Caenorhabditis elegans: one gene and its partners. The protein of the gene in region 1 purifies or fractionates together with the protein of each later gene. This does not show direct contact. Each region holds a gene or a part of one and is shown on either strand. Other genes may lie near its edges. The genes, in order: spat-3, ZK1053.4 and clec-59.

Region 1 (3,757 bases):
TCCGGAGCAAACTTTTTTTTCGGCCGTCCACAAGGCTTCTTTTTGCTTTCTTTGATTAGTTTCGTGGCAACCACTTCACCACTAGCATCCTCATCGAAACTTTCATTCGAAACATCTGATCCATCCGTTTTTGGCACGTTCTTTCTTTTCATCTTTCTCTTCTTCTTTTGCAATTCGTTATCTCGAGAATCGTTATCACTTTCACTGGAGTCACGACTTCTATTCGTTGTCTTTTTACTTGTGGAACACGACGGCTTGGACACGTCTTCATTATCAGAAATCTCAAAGTCAGAGTCCAACATGCTCTCTTCTTCATCATCAAGATCAGTTTGTTCCTCATCACTCGACTTAATCTCAATTGGGAAATCCATTTCACCTTCTTCCAATACCTCCTTTTCTGCAGCTACCGAGGTTCCCTCTTTGTCATTTTCTAGATAATTTGTATCATCCTCTTTCGGAGCACCTTTCTTTGATTCCATGACTTTTCTTACAGAGCCATCTTCATCACTCTCGTGAAACCAGCGAATTTTTTTTCTACCAGCAGATTTCAGTGGACGAGGAGCTTTGAGTTTTGAGTTTGGATCGATTCCGTAGCGTTTATTCCAATCACTTCCTCCCTCAATGTAACCTTTTCTTCCAAAGTAGACGTCTTTTTCGTGCTCTCGATTTTCAGCCATCATGCGACCAACAATGGAGCGGCTCTCAACGACCTGATAAATCAGTTGATCAAAACGAGGATCTTGTTGTAGTTCTCTTTTGGATCCCAGGTTCTGACGACACGTCGGACATGTGTTTCCAGATCGCATAAACGCCACAAGAATACACTGGTCACAGAATCGATGACCGCATTTCTGGAATTAAATTATTAATTTTTCATCAACTATAGTTATTAAAAAACACCTTTGTCATAATAGATCCTTGTATAAGTTCTTGGCAAACATCACAGGAAAAACTTCCAATTACTTTTTGCAAATCAGCTTCACATACACTCTTCCCAGGCAGAACATTGTATTTATTGCGGACCTGAAAACCAGTTTTCAAAATTAAAAAAGAAAATGTGTTTCACTAACCGCATCGTATGCATTGAGTGTAAGTTCGCGGCCTTCCATTCTCGCTGGGTTCATGAGCACTTCCTCGAGATCGTAATACTGCTCACTCGTGGTTGGGAGTTTAATCTCCGGTTTACCCTTGTACGAAGGTATTCCTTCCTTCGCTCGTTGGTACAGGCTTTTCGTCTCACTTTCATTACCCGATTCAAGGAGATTCACACGATGACCTTTGTCTCTAGTGGGTGGGCGGACGGGAATAACTCTGGTAATCACTTTTTTCTTTTCACTCGACGGTCTGGACTCTTCGCTTTTTTCTGAAGCTGATGAAACCTCGGAATCACTTGAAGAATCCGATGTGTTTTCTTCGGCGTTCTGAGAAATGGAAAATTAGAGAACAATTTTATTTTTTCCAAATACTTTTTTTGAGTTCAGTTCAAAAAAATCCAGTTTTCAAAATCAGAAAAAAAATCTTTGTAGTTAATCTATTCATTTTATTATTTGCTTATTTTTATCGTTTAAAGGAAATTAGTATTTGAAACAAAAAACATTCTAAAATCCAACCTCAGCCTTATCTCTTGCACTTTTACTTGTGCTCGGTCCAGGAGAATCATCCATTTTTGAGTTCGTGTTGTGCGAATGACTCACACCTGCAACAAGAGTTTACGTTAAGTGGATACCAAAAAATAAAAGAATATTGTAAGAAAAGAGAGTAGGCGACATTTGTATTTGCATAATTTTGTCGAAGATCGCATTAACAAAACATACGGATAGGAAAATATTTGATGTTCAAGAGGCGGAAGGAGAAAGTGCAATGAAATCTTGGGCAAGGTCAACCTTTTCCCAAATGTTTTGTACTAAACAAAAACTTAAAAAAAAACTAAAGAAAACAACATTTTAGGACTTCGAAGCAAAAATAAACATTTTTCGAGGCAAATATCGAGAAATAAAAATTATATATGAACATAACCTTCCTCTTTTTCTATTTTTTTAAAGATTGCGACTTAAAACGTGAGATAATTACTTCAGAACTACATAAATGACCAAAAAAAATTTGCAGAGAGTAACCATTAATGTCCAAGCTAGGCAACTGGACATTACTGGCTGGGAGAGCGGAGGCTGTGTGAAGAGTGAGCGAATGTGAGAGAGTGGAGGGAAGAGGCACTGTGTCTGTGTGCGGTTTGAGCGCCGAGGAGGGGGGAGAGCGGGAAAATGGAGAGGGCAGCGGGTTGTGTGTGTGTGTGTGTGTGTGTGTGTGTGTGTGTGTGTGTGTGTGTGTGTGTGTGTGTGTGTGTGTGTGTGTGTGTGTGTGTGTGTGTGTGTGTGTGTGTGTGTGTGTGTGTGTGTGTGTGTGTGTGTGTGTGTGTGTGTGTGTGTGTGTGGCCCATCTTTCTTTACAGAGTCGATTTCGTTTTCTAGGCCACCCCACCAAACGCGCTGTGCCAAAATGAAATGGTGAACGCGATGTTGGACACCAGTTGGCTTCGCATCTTTTGATTAGCGGAGATTGAAGTGCCTGGTGATAAGTGACACGAATGATAAGATACGAGTGTAGACCAATACAAAAATGTGCTGGCAACTTTCCAAGTTTTTCGTTTTTGGAATATAAATTATTTACTCTTTGGTTCTAAAATTTAATTGAAAAATCGTAAAAGGTGGAGTTGGAAAATTGTTAGAAAACACTCCTACATTTCTAAATTAACCGAACAATAGTAATCATAGTAAAATTTTCCAGAAATTCTAATTTTTAGTTTGAATTCAAAAAATCATTTCAATTTCAAAAAAAGTCATTTCTCAGTTTTCACCACTTTCATTTTGAGAATTAGAAAAAAAACGTATTTTATACGAATTTTATAATTTTTTAGTGTTCAAAAATTAATTGTATCAAAAACAAAGTGTTTACAAAAAATAATGTTCACACGTTACTTGAAATGCCACAAGTTGGTGAAGCTTCGATAGATATATCTCAAAAAAGCTACGCCAAAAAACAATACTTGAATATTAGAAAGTTTTTGTTGTGAAACTTCAAAAATTTAAGAAATGGTAGAACATACGCAAAAAGTAAGAATTTTTGAAAATTCAGCAATGCACCTAAGTGTACCAATCACTTTAAAAATGTTAAAGTGTGATTGATATCCATCTTATAAAACGTCCTTCACTGGGAAAAAATAAATATAAGATCGAAGGAATCGAACCATGGTCTTTTTTTTTGGCAGACGCGCCCACTCCCCACTAGACCACTGAGGGCGATTTCCAATTTGGTTGGTGTCACGTTACGAAAAGTCACGAAGAGAGGAAAATTTCTGATTTGTATGGTGAGATAGTGGATTTCTGTAGAAATTAGTATCGGAATTTATTTTAGAAAAATGAAACGTCATAACTTTGTTGAACTGGCTCCGCAACAGCTCAATATTTTGGAGTGAAAATTAGTCGCACTGTTTTACGGAAAAATAACTATGTCATGTCAAACTGTAGAATCCCATTCTTCTACTCCCTTGATAGGAAATTTTCATTTTAATAATTCGAAAACTACGAGGAAACGAGAAAAATTTAAAAAGGAAAAAAACAAGTAAAATCAGTCCTTCTGAGAAAGACAATTCACACAAGAAGAGGCTACGGTGAAATACAAATATACGCGGACAGATCACTAAATGTAGATCAAAACTTTATTTTTGTGTTAATGAAATGATATTCTATCAAAATGTATCTTT
Region 2 (3,757 bases), on another chromosome or scaffold:
GTCCACTTTAAAAGTGGCAACATTCCGTGAAGGGCAATATCCAGTAGATAACATTGAAGATGCATCAAATTTTGGTTGGTGAAAATTGTGAGAATGAACGAATTGCTGGCTCGGCTGTGGAGGTGGATACAGTGAGTATGCACCTGATCGTATCTTACGATGAGGGAAACTTGCAGTCTCAGGATACATTGGAGGAGGTTTCAAAATTGATGTTTGCACGGGACTAGGTTCTGTTGAGATCGATGATGTGTTGAGAGATTGAGAGCCTTTATCTGAAAATTACCTATTGAAGTCAATTAATGCAGCTGTTGAAACATACTATACGTAGTACTATGCATGTTCTTCCTCTACGATTTTGAAGGGAGGCACAATTATACAAAATGGTCTCTAGCCGCGCGTTTTGAACTCACAGCAGGGATGGGTAGCAAACGATTTTTTTCCGGCAAATCGGTAAACCGGCAATTTGTCGATTTTCTGAATTTGCCTGTTTTCGGCGAATTGTGGTTTTGCACAGTTTTTTTTGGAAATTTCAGAATTTTAATTTCAATCGGTAAAATTGTACGCATCCTATAAATGTTCCTACATCTATATTGAAAAGTAAAAAAATTTTGGGAAAATATCTAAAGAAAACCGGGAAAAAAATTTCAAAATGGCACTGGTTGATGTGTTTCCGTCTTATAAAAAAATCCTTCTGAACACTTCCGGCAAATCTGATATCCGGCAAACGTCAATTTGCCAGAATTGGAAAAATCTTGTGGGCTAAGAAAAAAGTGAGCTAAAATTGAAATTTGAATTTCCGCGTAAATTTTTTTTTGATGGCTTTGAAATTCTTTTTCTTACACTGCCCATAGTTAGCCAAACATGTTTTATACATTTTAAATTGCTTGTACAAAAAATTCTGAATTACCTTCTTTTGATTCTTCTGATTCTTCTGATTTTTCTGATTCTTCAGAAATTGTTACTAACGAAACATCAGAAGACTTTCCTTTAATTTCGCTGAATAAAGTTTCTAGAATTGATGACCGTAGTGAATGATCAGGGGGCCCGGAAGATGCACATTTTGCTAGAAGTTCCGTAGTCTCGTCTATAATTCTTTCAAATGGGCTTGAAAGTCTTGGAGCGGGAGAAGCCTCGCGGCTTGGTTCTGATGGGGTTTCGGGCTTTCTAATCTGAAATTTTTTTTTCAGTTAGCATTAGACAGTCTAATAAACGAACATGACAATTTTTCAGCTGAGAAATGAATTTGTCTACAGTAATATCTATCAACTGATCCGTGGTTTCGACCAGTTTGTTCAAAAATTCTTGACGACTAGCTATAGCATCGGCGATGGACGGCTCTTCGGTCTGAAAATATGAATATTCGCATTACTGAATAGTTTATTGTATGCCTACCTCGCTAGAATTCTGTGTATCGATTTCCTCTGTTTCTTCTTCACGAATACTCGACCCTCCCATCATTTCTCTAAACTTTGTGGGAAAACTTGTGTAAGCGTATTTCAGCTGAGCTTGTCGATGCTGGAAAAAATGAGATAAAAACGTGATAAAAATTAAATTCCAATCTCACCTTAGACCAAGAATCGTACACTTCTGAATCCTTTTTCATATCCTCCATAACTGCTACCTGCTCCGTTACATTCGTCGCTTTTTTGAGTCTTTCATTGAATCCCGACATGCGACTTTGCAAAGTTTCCGTTGGAACGGTAGATGGTTGCATTACAAGACCTGAAATAAAAACTTGTAACAGAATATTTTAAAAACAAAGGAGATTGCAGTACGTGTTAAAAAGTGGACAGAGAGGGCAACAGTGCGATGACGTAACGACTGTTTGGGAGGTCAGGACGCGTTCAATACGCAATGGTCCTCTGTGTACGCTACACTTTTGCCAACCCAAGATATCGATCTTAAATGTTGACCGAGAGAGACAAAAGATGTGTCTTGTTGGAGAATGTATTATTAAAAATTATTAGATACATTTTTTGTAGTAGGGTGGGCGGCAAAAGGGTTTTCCGGCAAATCGGAAATATGCCCAAAATAAAAATTTCCGGCAAATCGGCACATTGCCTGAAATGAAAACTTTTGGCAAATCTAAAATAATTGATAACACAGGGGTTTTTCCATGCTGATACCAAAAAAGAGCAGACCAGTAAAATGTGACTGTCCCCACCAGAGGAGAGTACTTTCTTAGTGTATCTATTAAGGTTGTATGTACAGAATGTGCAAGGGGCCAGGTCACTGCGTCTTTTTGGGCACACTACTGTGTATGAATAAATGACCTATTCTCCCCGGGAGACAAAACATTAGGGGGTATCACTTAAAGAGTACAGTGAAAGAATGGGAAAATGCAATATTCTCATCAAATTTGAATTTTAGAGAAAAGAATCTGAGTTGATAATTGTGGTCAGAATTGAGCCCCCATGAACAATAAGTAAATTCCTAAAAAATTGAGAAAAAAAATTGCCTTAGAGACAAATTTATTCATAGCTAATTTTTTTAAATGAGGAAAAAGCAATCACATTGTATCTTCGACTTTACTATTTGTATATTTATTGAAAAATTGGCATATGTGGTCGAACTCAAAAACTTTCCACTTTGACGCATCTGAAAATTAGTGTTTTTGAGATTGTTTGATCATGAAATTGAGATTAAAGTGATATCCCTACCGAAATCCTTTATCCAACGATAAGAACAAGAGGTACAGTAATCCGCATCCGCAGACGTCTGCAGCAGAGGTCAGAAGTGGAATTGCATGATTGTCCGGATCAATACCGAATGACCAGAAGGCGAAGACTATCAGCTGGGCCAGGTAGAGAATTGTGGATTGCTGGAAAAAGTGGAGGTTCTGTGTGGAAAGTCTTGATCACAGATCTACAAATCTTGATCTACAGTAACCCAACATTACGCTTATGACCATGCAGGAACCCTACACAGGGGGTAACATCAGTACGATCAACTTACTTGAATCAAAACTACTAGTGCATATGCAATGAAAAACCGGAAATCCGTCTCCACCGGCTCATCAATCACAAATGACATTGCAGTCGAGAGCCCGACAAAGAACATTTGAAACGGTAACGCCGTGAACAACAGAAGCCTCGCAGTTCTAGACTCTGAGCTCGCAGATCTGTAGTAACTAATTGGCGATGCACGTTGCCTCCATCCCAGGTCTGATGTCTTGTGTACTTCTAGATGTGATGATATCCTTGATGCAAGGACGGCTCCTCGATTTCCAGCGAGTCCAGAGATGAGTGTTTGATATGCTGGGTAGTTTGGGTAGGTCATCGCACCTTTACTTTGAAGTAGACCCGCACCACAGCTGACCATCGCTGCAAACGCCAGAGTGAAGCACTGTTGCTTGGCAATGCGCAGAGCATCTTCGTCGTTCCCTGGAAAATTTAAGATTTTCGAAAATCAAAAAAGTTGACAAAGAGACTTACATGCTATCATAATCCATAGAGGTATGCTACACGCTGCCACCACAACAATCACCACCGGCACCGAACTTGAAAACCCCGAATATGGACGAAGAAGATAGCAGAAAAAGAGCATCGAGCCGATTGTGAGCATGTCACTGATACTAGCGCCCAGTGGAGCTACAATGTTGTCAGGATTGTAATCATTCTTCCAAGCACAGTAGACTATTGTGAAGAGGACTGAAACAATTTTTATATTATAAAAAATTTTCAAAGTTAAGACATTGAGACTTACATGTTGTACAGATCGCGCAGTTCAGTGCAACCGAGAGAATTGATGATCCCGT
Region 3 (3,757 bases), on another chromosome or scaffold:
TCAATAATTTCTCATTAACTCTTACAACTCTCCAAGTGCCAATTTGTTTTCTGTACTTTTCATTTGCCGGTCATTTATTTATTTTTTCTTACCTTTTATCTTGTTCAATATTTTGTAATTTTCCGCTTAAAGCAAAATTTCCCGTGTTTTTTATTGTTGTCCTTTCTAATTCCTAATCAATAAATTAATCAGTATAACTGAAAGATCGTTAAAGTTTGTCTCACAATTTTATTCATTAAATTAAAAGCAATCAAAGAATTGAATTTATTTGTTTGACAACAATTGTACATAGTATGAAGAAAATCAACATTAATAATAATAAATTACATATAAAACTAATGGTTTGAAATGGAATCACCTCCAGAGGAACAGTAGTTATTAGTGTCACAAGCAGCAGTTTCACATACATAGTTGGAGGCAGCTGCGAATTGATGAACGTTTTGCCATCCAATTTCCAAATCAACAGTTGTCTGTCGATTCAAAACAGTTGTCAACGAGGAATCAGATATTGGATATCCTGAATTCCAGATTTCATAGTTCTGAAGTTGTGGTTGTGTCCAATCTTGTGGCTGATCCCACTGCCACATTCCATTGACCTTGTTCAGTCCGATGTGATAGCTTAATGGAAAATGGAAACCAGAGAAGTTTTTGACAGATGATATAACAAAATTGTGTTTCCTGTTGTCATATTCATTGAGAAGATATGAATTTCTCCATCTATTACGGCATGATAATTGAGCAGCACGCCAGACGGCAGTCAATCCAACTGGAAGAATGCAGATTCCGTAACGGTAAGAATCCACGTCATCATGCAAAGCACGGTATTGAATCCAAGAAGTTGGACAGAAGCAATTTGCTGAACAATACGTGTTATTTCTTTATAAAATCAACTCAGTTTGAGATACCTTGAAGTAAAAATCCTTGAATTTCTCCGATAACATTCAAATTTTCATTCGAGAGATTGTGATAAGGAGTTGCAATTTTCTCGAGATCAACAAGAATGTCTCCGTCTTTATTTTGATCATATGCCACGGTGATAATTGTAACTCCAGAGGTTTTCAAGCGTTGAGCAACTGGAACTGGATTCAAGTCTCCACTTCCTCTGAAATTTTTTGGTTTTTAGTTGGGATTCCAAAAAATGCAACTCACTTGTATGTAGATGCATATACAATCACAACCTTCTGATAATGAGCACGGTTAAATCCATGCTTTCCCGCTTGAAAAACCTTCTCGGCTTGTGAAAGCCCTCTGGCAAGATATGATTCTTCAGAAGAGCTTATTGTTGCCAAAGCAGAGTTAATTCCACTATAGATATCATCAATTGATTGGAACTTGTTTAGATCCGCCGCCTGGAACAATACTAATGAGGAACAACAGTTTAGGGAAACGCTTACAGTTGTGGCATCAACATTGTATGTCACTAGTGCTAGTCTTGTAGTCTTTGGACTTGTCGGATTAGTGCCAATCTGTGTATTTTTACTGAATATGGAAGCAATATTTGCAGCGACCTGAAATATGCTCTTTTCAATAGAATAATTTGATTAGAATTACCGTACACTTGTCAATCCTCCCTTGGTCATTCCAGCAGAGTTATCCACAACAGCTACAACATCCAACCATAAATTACTCAAATCTTGTCCACATATGCGATCCGTATAGGACGAAGAAAGGTATGCTAAAAGTTACTAATTTTGGCAGGTAATTGATTGAAATAAGACTTACCATGAAACAAGAAGAAGAGCAAACAAATGTTTTTACTCATTTTTGCAAACAAATGAATGATTATTTTTCTCAATTCATTCTCTCTTTTATACACATGGAAGTTTCATTAAAATGATAATACACAAGATGCAGAGTGTATGTTTGAATTGAAGTATCCCAGACACACCTTATTACTGTCTCTTGTTTTCAAAAAAAACCAACGGATGAAACTTTGTTGTATTGAGGAATTATTTAACTGATAACACCACTGGTAACTTATTTTCGTACTACTATTTTTGAAAAGTAGTTGCAATGTTTTGAAATGCCGTACTAATTGAAAAAGTACGGGAGATTTCATTTGTTGTGAAACAATTGGTTAACGTAATTTTTCCTTCAAAATTATTGGTGAACAGTGTTGCTAAAAATTTTTTAAGTTGTAGCAAACGAAAAGAGAAAAAAGAAAGTTAATTATTTATTGAGAAAAGCCGAATAAATTTATTTCAGTTTTTGCTAGATTGTTAGAAATTTAACTTCACAAACTAAGAGTTGAATTATCAGTATCACAAGACGCAGTCTCACAAACATCTGCATTGAATGGTTTAATATTCTGCCATCCAGTCACCAAAAGTCCGCTTATTCGTTGGTTTGAAACACCTGGATTCCAAATTTTTATTACAAAGAGGGAGAAGCAGTACTAATAAAATAAATACGGTCTGTAGAATCAGAATTTATTATTATACAACAACAAGTATGTATCGTGTATATTAGTGTTTTACGGAAATTTCAGCAAGTCCAGCTTCGGTGCAGTAATTATCAGTATCGCAAGATGCCGTTTCACAAACATAATTGGCTCCAGTCGTCAGTGGCTTGATATTCTGCCATCCAGACTGCAGTTGCACACTTGATTGTTGATTCAGAACTCCTGTGAGAGTAGAGTCCGAAATGGGATATCCTGGATTCCATCCTGCATAACTTTGAAGCTGTGGTTGAGGCATTCCTTGTGGTTGATCCCATACCCAGACACCTTTGACCATACTGAGTCCGTTGTGATAAGTTAGAGGTACACTGAATCCTGTGTAATTGCTCACTGCAGTCAGGACATAATCGTGTTTGTTCGAATCGAATTCAGTGACAAGATATGCATTTCGGTTCATGCATGAAGATTTGGCAGCGCGCCATACCGCATTGAAACCGACTGGAAGAATGCAGACACCGTAGCGGTAGGAGTGAACATCAGTGTAAGATACACGGTATTGAATCCACGAGTTTCGGCAGAAACAGTTCACTGAAAATAGTTTGTATTGCTATATAATATAAGTTCCTTTAACAAACCTTGCAGCAAAGCATCCTGAATCTCTCCAATAACTTGCCCGTTGTCTTCGGTATTCGTGAAGTTGTATGGTGGAGATGCAATCTTTGCCAGATCTGCAAGAAGAGCACCGTCTCCGTCTTGATCATATGCCACAGTAATAACAGTCACTCCAGAAGTTTTCAGTCTTTCAGCAACTGGCACTGGGTCCAAGGCTCCGGATCCCCTAAAGACAAGCAATAAATGGTTGCACAAACTGTCTAAAGAACATACTTGTAAGCTGATGCATAGACAATCACAACTCTCTGATAATGAGTACGGTTGTACCCTTGTTTGCCGGCTTCAAGTACATCTTCTGCTCTTGCAAGCCCATTTGCTAGATATGACTCTTCGGAAGTGCTGACTGACGAAAGAGCACGGAAAACATTATCGTAGACGTCATCGAGTGATTGGTATTGGTTAAGATCGGCTTGCTGTAACATTTTTAATGTCTCGAAGATTTTGATACTGATAACGTGGAGTATGGTTGGTGGAAGTTTGTAAATACATAATAATTCCCAGTTCATGAAAGAAGTTACTGTAGTTTTTCTTGATGCAACAATTGTGACTTAAAACTATTGAATTAAAATCTTACAATCGCCGCAGCTTTGTTGTAGGTTACTAATCCAAGTCTTGTGGTTCTTGGCTCAGAAGGATTTGTTCCAATTCGAGTACCACTACTGACGACTGAAGCAATATTAGCGGCAA

The links.
Region 2: the proteins of spat-3 (region 1) and ZK1053.4 fractionate together in Caenorhabditis elegans (co-fractionation; one large-scale study listed by BioGRID). This does not show direct contact.
Region 3: the proteins of spat-3 (region 1) and clec-59 fractionate together in Caenorhabditis elegans (co-fractionation; one large-scale study listed by BioGRID). This does not show direct contact.

Annotation. Positions count from the first base shown.
Region 1 is NC_003284.9:4,604,233-4,607,989, forward strand, and holds the start of spat-3 (E3 ubiquitin-protein ligase RING2 homolog spat-3), read right to left. Parts: upstream 1,697-3,757; 5' UTR 1,665-1,696; coding exon 1,611-1,664; intron 1,422-1,610; coding exon 1,071-1,421; intron 1,024-1,070; coding exon 901-1,023; intron 852-900; coding exon 1-851.
Region 2 is NC_003279.8:13,239,626-13,243,382, reverse strand, and holds the start of ZK1053.4 (SET domain-containing protein), read right to left. Parts: upstream 1,729-3,757; 5' UTR 1,715-1,728; coding exon 1,565-1,714; intron 1,516-1,564; coding exon 1,393-1,515; intron 1,345-1,392; coding exon 1,216-1,344; intron 1,170-1,215; coding exon 908-1,169; intron 273-907; coding exon 1-272. Other genes in the region: ZK1053.6 (SLC41A/MgtE integral membrane domain-containing protein), read right to left, coding at 2,657-2,821, 2,956-3,383, 3,435-3,650, 3,706-3,757.
Region 3 is NC_003280.10:10,477,687-10,481,443, forward strand, and holds clec-59 (VWFA domain-containing protein), read right to left. Parts: upstream 1,763-3,757; coding exon 1,723-1,762; intron 1,676-1,722; coding exon 1,557-1,675; intron 1,509-1,556; coding exon 1,395-1,508; intron 1,350-1,394; coding exon 1,150-1,349; intron 1,103-1,149; coding exon 906-1,102; intron 857-905; coding exon 336-856; 3' UTR 318-335; downstream 1-317. Other genes in the region: ZK666.4 (Pepsin-I3 domain-containing protein), read left to right, coding at 1-7; clec-60 (VWFA domain-containing protein), read right to left, coding at 2,466-2,986, 3,034-3,236, 3,284-3,483, 3,645-3,757.